Linked DNA regions of Saccharomyces cerevisiae S288C. Changing the gene in region 1 together with any one later gene gives a genetic interaction. Each region holds a gene or a part of one and is shown on either strand. Other genes may lie near its edges. The genes, in order: SGT2, GPT2, SEC18 and ATP11.

What was found.
Region 2: mutations in SGT2 (region 1) and GPT2 together harm fitness more than expected from each alone (negative genetic interaction), as found in Saccharomyces cerevisiae (2 studies listed by BioGRID).
Region 3: mutations in SGT2 (region 1) and SEC18 together harm fitness more than expected from each alone (negative genetic interaction), as found in Saccharomyces cerevisiae (2 studies listed by BioGRID).
Region 4: mutations in SGT2 (region 1) and ATP11 together harm fitness more than expected from each alone (negative genetic interaction), as found in Saccharomyces cerevisiae (2 studies listed by BioGRID).

What each region holds. Positions count from the first base shown.
Region 1 is NC_001147.6:338,433-341,841, reverse strand, and holds SGT2 (Sgt2p), read left to right. Parts: upstream 1-1,863; coding exon 1,864-2,904; downstream 2,905-3,409. Other genes in the region: SLG1 (Slg1p), read left to right, coding at 1-564; ribosome biogenesis protein TSR3, read left to right, coding at 3,221-3,409. UniProt on the Saccharomyces cerevisiae protein: Co-chaperone that binds to the molecular chaperone Hsp70 (SSA1 and SSA2). Regulates Hsp70 ATPase activity. Required for recovery from heat shock.
Region 2 is NC_001143.9:566,085-570,649, forward strand, and holds GPT2 (bifunctional glycerol-3-phosphate/glycerone-phosphate O-acyltransferase GPT2), read left to right. Parts: upstream 1-1,833; coding exon 1,834-4,065; downstream 4,066-4,565. Other genes in the region: CCP1 (cytochrome-c peroxidase), read right to left, coding at 29-1,114; TRAPP complex core subunit BET3, read right to left, coding at 4,244-4,565. UniProt on the Saccharomyces cerevisiae protein: Dual substrate-specific glycerol-3-phosphate/dihydroxyacetone phosphate sn-1 acyltransferase, catalyzing the first and committed reaction in the de novo synthesis of glycerophospholipids and triacylglycerols (TAGs).
Region 3 is NC_001134.8:398,079-402,432, forward strand, and holds SEC18 (AAA family ATPase SEC18), read right to left. Parts: upstream 2,813-4,354; coding exon 536-2,812; downstream 1-535. Other genes in the region: RPG1 (translation initiation factor eIF3 core subunit a), read right to left, coding at 1-199; SAGA histone acetyltransferase complex subunit SPT7, read right to left, coding at 3,175-4,354. UniProt on the Saccharomyces cerevisiae protein: Required for vesicle-mediated transport. Catalyzes the fusion of transport vesicles within the Golgi cisternae. Is also required for transport from the endoplasmic reticulum to the Golgi stack.
Region 4 is NC_001146.8:42,803-46,012, forward strand, and holds ATP11 (Atp11p), read right to left. Parts: upstream 1,479-3,210; coding exon 522-1,478; downstream 1-521. Other genes in the region: prephenate dehydratase PHA2, read right to left, coding at 1-273; DAL82 (Dal82p), read left to right, coding at 1,645-2,412; tetratricopeptide repeat-containing protein EMW1, read right to left, coding at 2,506-3,210.

The DNA.
Region 1 (3,409 bases):
ACTTCGGATACTTTGGCAACGAGCAGTACTAGCTCTCAATCACAGGACGCCACTTCGATAATCTATTCCACTACTTTTCACACTGAGGGCGGTTCCACAATTTTTGTCACGAACACCATCACGGCAAGTGCACAGAATTCAGGATCGGCCACAGGTACAGCTGGATCTGACTCTACGAGTGGAAGTAAAACTCATAAAAAGAAAGCCAATGTAGGGGCAATTGTAGGCGGCGTTGTAGGTGGTGTAGTGGGAGCCGTAGCCATTGCTCTTTGTATCTTGTTGATTGTCAGACACATTAATATGAAGCGGGAACAAGACAGGATGGAAAAGGAATACCAAGAGGCGATAAAACCAGTTGAGTACCCTGATAAACTATACGCCTCTTCATTTTCATCTAATCACGGGCCCTCTTCAGGTAGCTTCGAGGAGGAGCACACCAAAGGGCAAACTGATATTAACCCTTTCGACGACTCAAGGAGAATAAGTAACGGAACATTCATAAATGGCGGACCAGGAGGGAAAAACAACGTTTTAACAGTGGTCAATCCAGACGAAGCTGATTGAAGAAACCCAAAAAAAATTATTATATTCTTAAACTATTGCCAAGCAAGTCTTGTTCCTTCCCATTAATTTTTTCTTTTTCCGATTTCATTTTGCCAAATCATCTCCATTTTCACATTATGATGATCCTCTAAAAATTCATACATTTCGAATTTGAGAGCTGGAGAGCTGGAAGTAACGAGGAACATTAAATAGGAACAACAAAATTAGATTAGTTATTTTTTTTTCTACTCATTAATTTTTTTATGATATATTTGAATACCAACCTTAACTTAGTTACATAGATTTAACAAACATTAAACATGTTAATTCTTTGAAATGAATACCACCTAATAAAACTATACATTTTCAAAATAACAAATTGTTATGAAACTAATAGCTAATTATCTTCTAGTGACAATAACCACTTTACTAGAAATTATTAAAAAAATACCGCGTTGAAAGACGATATAAAGTAGGAGATTAATAAATTTATATTCATATTTTCTTCAATCTAATGAAATTGAAGCGCAAGGATTGATTATGTGATAGGATGCGTGAGTAGTAATGCATGAAAAAGGAGGAAGACGTGATTATAATATATGATGTAAAATTTTGATTCCATTTTGCGGATTCCTGTATCCTCGAGGAAAGACCTCTGGCATATTATATAGGGATATTATTCCTTTACAAAAAATGGAATGAAAGAATCAAAACAAAATTGTCATGTTTGCACAATTGCGTATACCATTGCATATAATTATGTCGAAAATCATCAATATGTATGGGAATGATCATTCCATTTTTTTCACACTGGCATAATAATTTGAATATAATAATAATGGATGATGGGCATTATTGGGAAATAAAACTATGAAATTTGCTTTTAGTACGTGTATCGATAAATATCTCTAATTTTCTCAAGATCTGTTCCTCGTGGCCCAATGGTCACGGCGTCTGGCTACGAACCAGAAGATTCCAGGTTCAAGTCCTGGCGGGGAAGATTTTTTTTAACATTGAATAGAAATTACAAAGGTCTTTTATGCTATTTTAAAGGGCTATAGGCGGCATAATATTTGCTTTTAACCTTATTGTCATGACATTCTAATCACAACACTTAGCCCTTCTTTTGTATTTTTCCAAACTTTTTCAAGTCTTAAAATTTTCCCAATCGAAAAAAATGGAAGATCCGAGAAGGTTTTATTGCCCTACGCTTAATCCCAAATTTTGCCACCATATAAAATGAGTACGAGCGATATAATCGGACAACTGAATAGAAGCTTCTGACCAAGTGATATCTTATTAATACAAATCTACTGTACGATGTCAGCATCAAAAGAAGAAATTGCTGCCCTTATTGTAAACTACTTTTCTTCCATTGTGGAAAAGAAAGAAATTTCAGAAGATGGCGCCGATTCTTTAAATGTTGCTATGGACTGTATCTCTGAAGCCTTTGGCTTTGAAAGAGAAGCTGTTTCAGGCATTTTAGGCAAGTCTGAATTCAAGGGTCAACATCTTGCTGATATATTAAATTCTGCGTCAAGAGTTCCAGAATCGAATAAGAAAGACGATGCTGAGAATGTCGAGATTAATATTCCAGAAGATGATGCGGAAACTAAAGCCAAAGCTGAGGACTTGAAAATGCAAGGTAATAAAGCAATGGCCAACAAGGATTACGAACTGGCAATCAATAAATATACTGAAGCCATTAAAGTTTTACCAACGAATGCTATTTATTACGCCAATAGAGCGGCTGCTCATTCATCCCTGAAAGAATATGATCAAGCGGTCAAAGACGCTGAATCTGCAATTTCTATTGACCCATCTTATTTCAGAGGCTACTCTAGATTGGGTTTTGCTAAATATGCGCAAGGTAAACCCGAAGAAGCCCTTGAAGCATACAAAAAGGTTCTTGATATAGAGGGCGATAATGCAACAGAAGCTATGAAAAGGGATTATGAAAGTGCCAAGAAGAAGGTTGAGCAATCTTTGAATCTGGAGAAAACCGTTCCAGAACAGTCAAGGGATGCTGATGTCGATGCAAGTCAGGGTGCTAGTGCGGGTGGATTGCCAGATCTTGGTTCTTTATTAGGAGGTGGTCTTGGAGGTTTAATGAACAACCCACAATTGATGCAGGCTGCGCAAAAAATGATGAGCAATCCAGGTGCAATGCAGAATATTCAAAAAATGATGCAAGATCCAAGTATCAGACAGATGGCTGAAGGCTTTGCTTCAGGCGGAGGAACTCCAAATTTGTCTGACTTGATGAATAACCCAGCACTCAGAAACATGGCAGGCAATCTTTTTGGTGGAGCAGGTGCCCAATCTACAGATGAAACACCAGACAATGAGAACAAGCAATAGTGGACTGAAATAAGCCTTTAATGCAATACATGTTATGTAGATACAAATATAGCTCTATCTAGGATGAGTGTTACCAGGAATTTTATTTTTACTTTGAGATCACTTGCGAAATACTTAAATAGGGACTGTAGTTTACTTTTTCTTTTTTTCAGGTAAATTCGTCGATTTTCGGAGAAGACTAGAAAATATAATGTGATGAGAAACTACATAAAAAAATTTTTACTAGTAAATGTCTATTTGAAATACTTTATCGAAAAGCTTTTTATGTAAATCTGTATAGAACTTCTCGCGTAAGACAGTTGAGTAAGCAGTAACAATGGGAAAAGGTAAAAATAAGATGCACGAACCCAAAAATGGAAGACCACAGAGAGGCGCTAATGGGCACAGTTCCAGGCAAAACCATAGGCGCATGGAAATGAAGTACGATAATTCAGAAAAAATGAAGTTTCCTGTTAAACTGGCTATGTGGGATTTTGATCATTGCGATCCAAAGAGATGCAGTGGT
Region 2 (4,565 bases), on another chromosome or scaffold:
CCAATAAATAATATCTTTCCTCAGTGACCTATAAACCTTGTTCCTCTAAAGTCTTGAAAATAAATGGACTGGGCGCGTCTTTAGGGAAAGTGATACCGTTCTCCAACAGTTTTTCAAAAGCTTTGGAAAAATCCTTGAAGAACTTGTCCTGGTCATTAGCGTATTCTTTCACAATGCTTAAGTACTTGGGATCCTGAATCAAAGAATAATCAGTGGGCAGCATCATGTAGCCGCTCTTAGAGTCCCACTGTTCGTTGTTCGCGTCGTTCTTTTCCAATTTCCAGTCTTCATTCAGCAAGTTCAAGTAAAACTCATTGGTAAAGACGTTGTTAGCGGCTCCCCATGGCCCTTCGTATCCAGAGTTCTTCAAGTGGGTCTTGCCCAGAGCGTGAGCCCCCATAAGAGCAACTACTTCTCTGTCATTCATATTAAGTCTTTGAAAAAATGTTCTGACATAGTCAGCGTCTTTATCAGCGTCAGGCAGTCTCCCGTTGTCAGGGGTAGTATCCTCTGGCGTGTCGACTCTACCACATCTCCATGGAATCTTGGGACCCTGCATTTCCTGCACGGCAGTGACACCCCCTAGACTGAACAGATCACCCGAGGAGATCCAGGGAAACTCTTTGTGAATGGGCTCCAGGAACTTGAAGCCATTCTGCAAGCCCGCATTGGATGGATCGTTAAACTCCTTTTTGAATCTGTATGTACCACCGTATGACCCGCCTGTATTGTCGTGCTTGTCCCAGGTCCCTGAAGTGTGCCAAGCAAGACGGACTAATACGGGCCCATAGCCTATATAGTTGTCATATTCGTCATCTTCCCTCAGCTTGAGTGCAATCGCATTGTACACCTTTTGGAAGTCCTCGTATGACCTCCCTTTTTCGACAGAGGCGACATGAACGAGCGGTGTAGTGGAAGCCAAAGCAGCTGCCTTCCCCCAGTTGTTCCATCCGTGGTTACTACCACCCCCGGGAGAAGACGATGATCTCTTTTGGGATTGCGAGTAAGCAAAAGTTGCAGCAGCAGCAGCAGCAGCAGCAGCGGAGAACAGGTAGAGAGACCTCTTATGGGCGGTTCTGCCCAGTGAAGGTAAAAGCCTAACAGCAGTAGTCATAATTGTAGATATACGTGTGTGTTTGCGTCTGCATGAATGCGAAATTCATGTTCTTGAGTTAGCGAGCGTGTACAATAGTCTCTGCTTAAGTACTTTTCGCTCCAGGGTCCTTTCCTAAATTGGTAACAGCCGGCTTGGGCCGGCCCCTGGATGCCAAGAGAGTCATATTACTCAGTACTCAGGACCAAATAACTCATCGCTGTCGTTGGTAAAGAAAACTACAAATCTGGGCCTGACCATGGTTTACGAAATTCCTGACAAAGCAGGATATTCTTTGGCTTTGGAATTTCCATTGGCGAGATCTAGCTGCGGGAGAAATCATCCCGACATTATGTAAGCTACATAGGTCGCTGAAGTGTAGTCGCCACACGGCAGCGCTAAATGATAACTAGTAATTGGTGTGGAGCGACCACATTTTCGCATCGATCCAAGCTCGTCTTTTGGCTTTCTTGGCTATTCTTACTAGTTATATTGAATTATTACAGCTCTTGCTGGAACACCAGTAACCCGCCGTTGCTCCGCATTTTCGAAGTAAATGGCTCACTTTGATTGTAAGGTTGAGAGGAGTAATAAAGAGGGGAGAGAAAAGAGGAGAGACCCTGAAGAAGTGGCAGCTTGAGTATAAGATAGTGTCTTTTCGTGCTTCGTCGCTAGAGCAAAATTCTACTTTCACATCTAATAAAGCCGATTAATCGATCAGTTATTGCTCCCTTTCCTTTATGTCTGCTCCCGCTGCCGATCATAACGCTGCCAAACCTATTCCTCATGTACCTCAAGCGTCCCGACGGTACAAAAATTCATACAATGGATTCGTATACAATATACATACATGGCTGTATGATGTGTCTGTATTTCTGTTTAATATTTTGTTCACTATTTTCTTCAGAGAAATTAAGGTACGTGGTGCATATAACGTTCCCGAAGTTGGGGTGCCAACCATCCTTGTGTGTGCCCCTCATGCAAATCAGTTCATCGACCCGGCTTTGGTAATGTCGCAAACCCGTTTGCTGAAGACATCAGCGGGAAAGTCCCGATCCAGAATGCCTTGTTTTGTTACTGCTGAGTCGAGTTTTAAGAAAAGATTTATCTCTTTCTTTGGTCACGCAATGGGCGGTATTCCCGTGCCTAGAATTCAGGACAACTTGAAGCCAGTGGATGAGAATCTTGAGATTTACGCTCCGGACTTGAAGAACCACCCGGAAATCATCAAGGGCCGCTCCAAGAACCCACAGACTACACCAGTGAACTTTACGAAAAGGTTTTCTGCCAAGTCCTTGCTTGGATTGCCCGACTACTTAAGTAATGCTCAAATCAAGGAAATCCCGGATGATGAAACGATAATCTTGTCCTCTCCATTCAGAACATCGAAATCAAAAGTGGTGGAGCTCTTGACTAATGGTACTAATTTTAAATATGCAGAGAAAATCGACAATACGGAAACTTTCCAGAGTGTTTTTGATCACTTGCATACGAAGGGCTGTGTAGGTATTTTCCCCGAGGGTGGTTCTCATGACCGTCCTTCGTTACTACCCATCAAGGCAGGTGTTGCCATTATGGCTCTGGGCGCAGTAGCCGCTGATCCTACCATGAAAGTTGCTGTTGTACCCTGTGGTTTGCATTATTTCCACAGAAATAAATTCAGATCTAGAGCTGTTTTAGAATACGGCGAACCTATAGTGGTGGATGGGAAATATGGCGAAATGTATAAGGACTCCCCACGTGAGACCGTTTCCAAACTACTAAAAAAGATCACCAATTCTTTGTTTTCTGTTACCGAAAATGCTCCAGATTACGATACTTTGATGGTCATTCAGGCTGCCAGAAGACTATATCAACCGGTAAAAGTCAGGCTACCTTTGCCTGCCATTGTAGAAATCAACAGAAGGTTACTTTTCGGTTATTCCAAGTTTAAAGATGATCCAAGAATTATTCACTTAAAAAAACTGGTATATGACTACAACAGGAAATTAGATTCAGTGGGTTTAAAAGACCATCAGGTGATGCAATTAAAAACTACCAAATTAGAAGCATTGAGGTGCTTTGTAACTTTGATCGTTCGATTGATTAAATTTTCTGTCTTTGCTATACTATCGTTACCGGGTTCTATTCTCTTCACTCCAATTTTCATTATTTGTCGCGTATACTCAGAAAAGAAGGCCAAAGAGGGTTTAAAGAAATCATTGGTTAAAATTAAGGGTACCGATTTGTTGGCCACATGGAAACTTATCGTGGCGTTAATATTGGCACCAATTTTATACGTTACTTACTCGATCTTGTTGATTATTTTGGCAAGAAAACAACACTATTGTCGCATCTGGGTTCCTTCCAATAACGCATTCATACAATTTGTCTATTTTTATGCGTTATTGGTTTTCACCACGTATTCCTCTTTAAAGACCGGTGAAATCGGTGTTGACCTTTTCAAATCTTTAAGACCACTTTTTGTTTCTATTGTTTACCCCGGTAAGAAGATCGAAGAAATCCAAACAACAAGAAAGAATTTAAGTCTAGAGTTGACTGCTGTTTGTAACGATTTAGGACCTTTGGTTTTCCCTGATTACGATAAATTAGCGACTGAGATATTCTCTAAGAGAGACGGTTATGATGTCTCTTCTGATGCAGAGTCTTCTATAAGTCGTATGAGTGTACAATCTAGAAGCCGCTCTTCTTCTATACATTCTATTGGCTCGCTAGCTTCTAACGCCCTATCAAGAGTGAATTCAAGAGGCTCGTTGACCGATATTCCAATTTTTTCTGATGCAAAGCAAGGTCAATGGAAAAGTGAAGGTGAAACTAGTGAGGATGAGGATGAATTTGATGAGAAAAATCCTGCCATAGTACAAACCGCACGAAGTTCTGATCTAAATAAGGAAAACAGTCGCAACACAAATATATCTTCGAAGATTGCTTCGCTGGTAAGACAGAAAAGAGAACACGAAAAGAAAGAATGATCAAAAAATAGAAAAATAAAAAAAAAAGCATTTGACAATGTTTGTAAATAATATAATATGAAAGTAACTACTGAACAAAAACATTAAGGATAACATTTCTACGTAGGAAAATAATGTATACCTAAATAACGACACCAATAATAACAAAAATCACGAAAAAAAAAAGCTTACATGTCCACTAATCTTCGCCGATCGGTATTTCGTCTTTTAAAATTCTATTTAACTTAACCTTGATCTCCGTCTGAGAGTCTCCTCTCAAGATATCCGACACAAACCAGACATCACAATCCAGCTGCACCATTTCAAGTGACCCTTTCAAAACACCACACAATATATTGGAATACCAGAGCGATTTCATAGCGTCCATGGGTAACTCCACAAAGTCAGCCAATGGGTTTTCATCCAAAATCAATGAAAAAGTATCCTTGTTATGCGACCAGTTCGTTATGTTGGGTGTGATGTTTAAAAATATTTTGAATGCACACTTACTTAGTACTTCG
Region 3 (4,354 bases), on another chromosome or scaffold:
GCTTACCTTTCTTTAGTTCAACACCAATTTCCAAGAATTTAAACACGACTGGCTCAACAGTTGAAGGTGTAGCCCAACGGATTCTTCTGGCAGTTATGAAATCATGCAAAGATTGTAAAGCAGCTTGTTTTTCGCCAACAGAAATAAGTTCATCGGCTCTCTTAATGGCATTTTCAGGACGGAATGGTGGGGGGGCCATCTTGATGTTTCCTGGGCGTTTGTATGGTTTATTTTGGAACTCTCTCTATAGTTGTAAGTATATCTACTTTCGATTTAGTTCACCAAGAAAAATTTTTCACCTGGCAAAGCTTCTCGGGCAAAGCGACTGAAAAATTATCATCTTTACCCGGTGGGTGATAATTATGACAGGCAGATTCCAATGACAGAATAAAAGGAAAGGATGCCTTGGTTTTGATAATTTTATAAAATTTATCACTAAAATATATACCATAGAGGAAAGAACTTGTTCACTAGATCCTTTCTGATTGGAAGGGATAAAGAATAAAAATACAAGGACATGAAAAATTTGAAATAATTATGCGGATTGGGTCATCAACTCAACAAGCTCGTTCACGGGATCTTCATCGTGCCTTGCGGTTTCAATGTTGGTCAAGGTCTTTTTAATACCGACATTGAAGTTAGGACAGCTCCTTGATAATTCATTAATAACTTTAACTCTACCAGCATCGTCAAGAAAGTTTGATTCTATCATGACGTTGTTCAATTCATCTAAATTGGTCATATTTGGAACTGCTATCTCATTGTCGAAGCAACTCAAGATATCCATTTGTTGAAGTACCGAATAAGCTGATGTAGTAGTCATGATCAATAAACGACGGTCTTGTGGGGGTTTACGCTTCAATGCAACCTTTAGCATTTGTAAAATGTTATTAGAGAATCTTGGACCAATTGGTACCCAATCAACTAGAGTCTCTAACGAATCAATAACAAGAATGTTTAGTGGAGATTTATACGCATCTCTGAAAGTGTTATCAATATAGGCAATTTTTGCGCTTTCTGACATGCCTGACAACTCGTTGGGAGAAATTAACCTGATGAATGGGAATCCAGATTTTAAAGCAATTTCAGCGGCTAAAGCTGTTTTACCGGACCCTGCAGGGCCGTGGATTAATAGAGATACTAACCTGGATTTATCACTCTCGCGAACTTGGCGGACGTAACGGGCTCCGTTCTTCAATATTGAGTTAACTCGTTCGGAATAAAGCATCATTCCACCTTCCACACATGTTTTCAAATCTTCTTCACTAATCCCAAAAGCGGGAGTAACATCGTTGAGTGCATTTAAAAAGTCTTCTCTTGTTACTTTAAGTTTTGCTATATCTTTAGTGTTAAGTTTTGTGGCACCTTTCCCGATGTTGACGGTTTTGTTGATTGCAAAAGAACTTGCACTCTTCACTAAACCCTCAATCTCAGCACCAGAGAAGTTTTTTGTTAACGCAGCTAACTCAGCTAAGTTAACATCGTCGCTCATCATATTATTTTCCCTCATTTTCTTCGTCTGAATGTCGAAAATTTGGAGTCTTCCTTTTTCATCGGGTAAATGAATTTCAACTTGGACTTCAAATCTACCTGGACGCAAAAGAGCACTGTCTATTAAATCTTTACGATTGGTCATACCAATAACCAAAATATTATTCAATTGATCAACACCATCCATTTTAGCTAACAATTGATTAACTACATTGTCCCCTACACCGGTACCATCACCTCTTGAACCTCTCTGCTTGAAAACAGAATCCAGCTCATCGAAAATAATAATATGTAAGGAAGATTCCTCACCCTTGGCCCTATATTCTGCTTCTGCATCCTTAAATAAATTACGAATGTTTTCTTCTGAAGAACCAACGTACTTACTCAAAATTTCTGGACCATTGACGATTTTGGGCTCTTTGGCATTCAGCATTGTACCAATCTTTCTTGCAATTAAGGTCTTACCAGTACCTGGAGGACCGTACAATAGCAAACCTTTAACATGAGAAATACCCAGTTTTTCTATAACTGAAGGAGGAAAGATTCGACTTGCAAACGCTCTTCTGAAAATTTTAGTAAACTCTTTATCCAAACCACCGACACCCAAATCTTCAAACTTGAAATCCGGTCTGATCACAGCATTTGATCTTGGTCTTAATGAATTTGATGATTTCAAATTAACTAAACCATCTCTTCCTTTGAAAAAATTAATTTGTGTTTGTTTTGTCAAAATTCCCTTTGTCTCTATCCCAGTTGCAACAGCGGAGGTTGGTTCAATATCACCCAAATCGATTGCTTGGACATTTCTAATTTTTAAGTCAAAGAAATGGCCTTGGAACTCCATGATAAGGTACTGGGTGGGAGAAAATATTTGAGATTCGTAGCAACGAACAAATTGTTTGGCTAACTCATCTTGATCGAATACCGTGCTTACCGCCTTACCTCTAGCTCTGAATGAGATATCTATATCTATTGAACCAAGATACGATTGCTTACCGGAATACTTGAATAAATCAAATGCTTTTGCTTGCACGTCTTGATTTAGGGACCAACCACCCCAGGTACGCTGGTTACCGTTAAATCCAATGGTTCCCGGTGGAATGTCGTTGGAGTGTCTAGTTGTGAAAACAAATAAATTATCGATAATAATATAAATGTTATTAGGGAAATCATTTGGTGAGACAGCAGCTACGTTTGCGAGTGCATAGGAGTTATTTGGACAGTTTGACACCTTTAAATGGCGTGTACGGGTATCCATGTTTGTCATATCTGGTGGAGTATGATTTGCAGCAGCTTTTCCAAAACCAGGTATCTTGAACATACTCAATTTATAAAGGCTGAATATACGGTACTATTTGCTCTTATCTTTGAGAGAAACAACGGTAGTACTTAAAGGCTACGAATAAGCCAATTTCATGAATCTCGAAATTTGGTACGCCTAACGTATAGTGTGATACCGAATTAACCCATGGGAAATACCTTTTTTTAGTGACGCTACGCTTGTGTAAAGAGAAAAAAATACTAGGTGACATTTTAGAGAGGGTACTGCAGAAGTATAAAGCGTACTCTGAGTATTAAAGTGCATTGAATTGGAATCCTACATCAACTACAAGTAAATAGTACAACCTTTATAAGCAAATGTATTTAATTAAAGATAAAATATTCAACTATTTAGCGCGCTCATTATTGATTAAGGCGAGGAAGGCTCAAGCTAAATGAACTATTGCTGCCCATATTGGTATCATCAAAAGCATCATCCATATCCAAAGGATCTAAAGGTTGAGGCGTTCGCAAAAATAAGGAAGAATCTCCATCATTTTCTGCACCCACTTTGGCGTTTACAGTTGTTGTTGGATCCGCTTTTACGTCGTTTTCCAAGTCTTCTTCTGGAAGTATAAACGCGCTTGCGATCGGTTTCTTTTTGTATGTGGTACTTATCTTACCAGTAGGAGGTAATCTTGCCTTCGTTGCGGTTTTCTTTGAGACAAACTGATCCTCTTCTAGTAAAGCGAAAGAATTGTCTTCTGTGGAAGTCATTGAGGTTTTATCATTTGCAGATGACTTGCTTTGCTTTGCTATATAGGCCTTGGAACGTTCATAATCTTTTTGTAATAGGGGAAGTAGAGTATTCCAGAATGAACCAGCATCCAGCATACCTTTTGTAATTTTCTTATACACAATGCTGTCTGATTCTTCCGGTTGGATCTTTTTGGCCTGCACTTTGGTTTCCCCGTCAACAGTTTGAAACTGAGTAGTCAGTAACTGTAATGGAACAGATGAACTCAAAACTCCAAACTCCTTTTCTAATCCAAGCTCTCTAAAACCAAAGAAGTCTTCACCAGTCAATTCGCTGGCAAAGTCACCTGTAAAAAAGCTTTGGCTCTCGTCTTCAAAGTTTCTCTCGGACAACTCCTGCAAAGTTGGCCTTAATAAGGCTCTCAAAAAGCTTTCTAGTTTCTGTTTGATGTCCTGAAGTTTCTTAGTTTTTTTACCAAATTCAGATTCAACATAGGAAAATAGATCGTCTGGCCTGTTGATACCGTTTTCCAACAGTGTTGTTTGCAGCATTTCCACATTTGTTCCTCTATTTAAGGAGTTAGTTTCATGATGAAGCTTCAAAGTCTTTATCAGATTAGATAGGTAATCCCCGGCGATTTCAGTAAGCATGTTTATTGCTGATGGATGGGCAGTTTCAAACCCATTGGCCATAGCAACCTTAGATATGTTCTTATGCATGAATTTCCATATCAGCTCCCTGTTGTTTTTGTAATCATGCGTTGGAAGCTGTGACACCGGATCAATATCGAGTGAGTCATCAATAATAGTGTAATTATAAATGTGGTTGTTAAGGAAAGCGTTGGGA
Region 4 (3,210 bases), on another chromosome or scaffold:
ATCTGCTGGAGCAGGTAAGGATAGGGCTTTTTTGATCATCCTATCACGCAAGAGATCATAGGAAAAAACTACTTGTCCATTGGTGGAATTTTCCAACGGTACCACTGAATAATCTATACTAGTGTCGTTCTCCAATTGGTTAAAACATTGGGGGATAGAGGCTGCTGGGAGGTACTCAACATCAGATGTTGATTGAAATTGTTGTAATGCAGCTTGATGGGAATACGTACCTTTGGGACCCAGAAAAAGAACCCTCAAAGTCTTGCTGGCCATAATTGAAGGATGAATGCGGAAATATAATGAAGTTGCTTTTCGTACTTTTTTAGCCTGTTCTTTCTGCGTATTATATTCATCTACTAAAATTTTTATTTTCATTTTTCATTATGAAAATACAAGAGTCATGCTGATAACTGTGTAAAGAAACTGTACGCTTGTCGCAGATGATGTAGTACGTATTTTATTTACAGGTGTCATTAATATATATATATATATATATATACGTATACGGAAGTAATTCTTCGTTAATTTTCCATGGACTGTGATAGCGAAATCAATTTCTCGACGGTGAATCCCGGAGAGGCCTTAGAGAAATCTCTTAACAACTGCACTCTCTGTTTAGCAACTGGAGTTTCTTCACCCATTGCACCATAAAACCTTTGCACGTTTAGCAATAACAGCTGTGCATCCTGTACATTCACGTTTGTATCCGGTTCAACATGGCCATTCATAAAAACAATTCCCTTATCCTTGACCAAATCAGAATGGAACTGCAAGGTAGTATGTGGCCTTGCAAATTCCTGGTGTAGTTTGTATTCTGCTAGGGAAGTCATCATACAATGTGTTGTTTGGGGTCCGACAAACTGCCATTGGATGTAGTGTAGTTCCATTCCCTGTTCTTCGTTCGGTTTTGCATCCTCAGATTGAACTTGTCTAGGAAGTGGCAACACGAATATAGGGTTATTCCTGGCATTTGCCATCATCTTATCATAAACGGAGACAGGAATCACAGCGCATAATGTATTATCTTTTTGTGCCCATCTTGCTCTCCAAAGAAACTCTACTTCCTGTTTCGATAAGTCCTTCAGTTTTCCAACATCCAAAAAAGAGTCCAATGTTTTGAAGGGAACTTTAGGAGCACTTGGATCGAGAGGACTTCTTGATTTCGTCATCAAATGCTTGGAGTTGTTATTTTCCATTTGAGTTTTTTGTTGGTAATCCTCTAGTTCTTTCAGGGGGTCGATTTTATTAAATTCCCGCTTCTTAGACTCTATAGTCTCTTTCAAATGATTTTTCAACTCTTCTATGCTGTTAAAACCTTGTTTTTGAGCCTCTTCCAAAAGTTTCTTTCTATACTTCTGCTCTGGGCTGGAAGAATAAAAACGAAAAACAGGAACTGTTCCAATTGCCTTGTTAAAAATGGGCGACAGCTGATTAGAAATATGGATTCTAGTGCCGATTTTTCTGGTTAGTCTCCACATAGTTATTCTTAAATCTCTTTTGTTCTCTATTTTCAAGTCTTGATAAGTTCTTCACATCCTTCGATTACGGCGTCAAAATAAGCGTTATTTCCATTCGGGTGAGTTGAACCATTGATAACAACATGGTTTAACGATACTTTGAAAGGTTTAGGCGGAGCCAACCATAATGGATGAATCGGTGGATCCTGTGGAGCTGCTTCTACGACTACTGATACGGCACAAACCTCATCTGAAACCATATGCCTACAGACAAGATAGCTGGCAAAGGGTGCTCGATGAGTACAACAGACAGACTGGGTCAAGATATAGACAATCAAGGACGTTAAAAACCAAATTTCGTCGACTGAAGGACCTCTTCAGCGCAGATCGAGCCCAATTCTCTCCTTCCCAGTTGAAGCTGATGGGAGCACTCTTGGACGAAGCACCAGAACATCCAAGACCAAGAACTAAATTCGGAAATGAATCATCTTCATCCTTATCATCATCTTCTTTCATTAAAAGTCATCCGGGGCCTGATCCGTTTCAACAATTATCATCCGCTGAACATCCGAATAACCACAGCTCCGACGATGAGCATTCAGGCTCACAACCGCTGCCCCTGGATTCAATAACGATTGGAATTCCGCCTACTCTTCACACAATCCCCATGATTCTGTCTAAGGATAACGACGTCGGGAAAGTCATCAAAAGCCCTAAGATAAACAAGGGTACAAATAGGTTCAGCGAGACAGTACTGCCTCCACAAATGGCTGCTGAGCAATCGTGGTCGGACTCTAATATGGAATTGGAAATATGTCTAGATTATCTTCACAACGAACTCGAGGTGATAAAGAAAAGGCAAGAAGATTTTGAGTGTAAAGTTTTAAACAAGCTCAACATAATTGAGGCTCTCCTTTCACAGATGAGACCACCCAGCCAAGGAGATAAAATATAAAAACTTCTATTAGATATGCTTGATTCATGTCCATATGTATCTATTTATACAAACATTACGTAATATACACAGATTATACATGAAAGGTGCTCTTCATATTTGGCTTCTTGCTTCCACTAGCCTATCCCAACCAGGAGAGTCATCCCATCTGCCTTTGCCTTTACTCATTAGAGCTTTGATAGTAGATCTACATTTGTATTTCCAGTCTTTGCAAACCAGACTGCCTGGCCCATATTTACCTTCCATTTCACCAAGTGATTCATAGGCAGCCACCAAATCTTCACAAGCATCCACTGTATCATTCCAAACCTTTTCTTCAACTTCTAAATCAGGATTGTGAGAAATGGCCCTATAAGCCTTCTCGTGGCATTCTAGGGCGGCCCATGGTCTCTTCCTCCAAAGTTCTACTCTTGCGACCAGTCGCCAACATCTTGCACTGGTTGTAATTACCTGAGGTAAAGTGTTACAGATAAACTCAGTACAGCTCTTTTGAAAATAAGATAATTGCTGCGGCTCCTCTGGATATTCACTAGTCACTAATAGTTCTACTAGTTTTTCAATAATTGGTAAGTCGATGGAACCTTCGCCAGATTTGTCCCTCCTAATACTGACTAATTGTTTACATGCAGTTAAGACATCCTCCCACTCATTCAACTTAACAGCAACAAGCATGTAATTCTCCCAAATTTTCCAGTTCTTTTGAGCGTCACATGAAATGGCTCTTTTCAAACAACTATAAGCTTCTTTCAATTTATCCATTTTCGTATATGCAGCGCTCAAATTTGACCATGAAAGAGC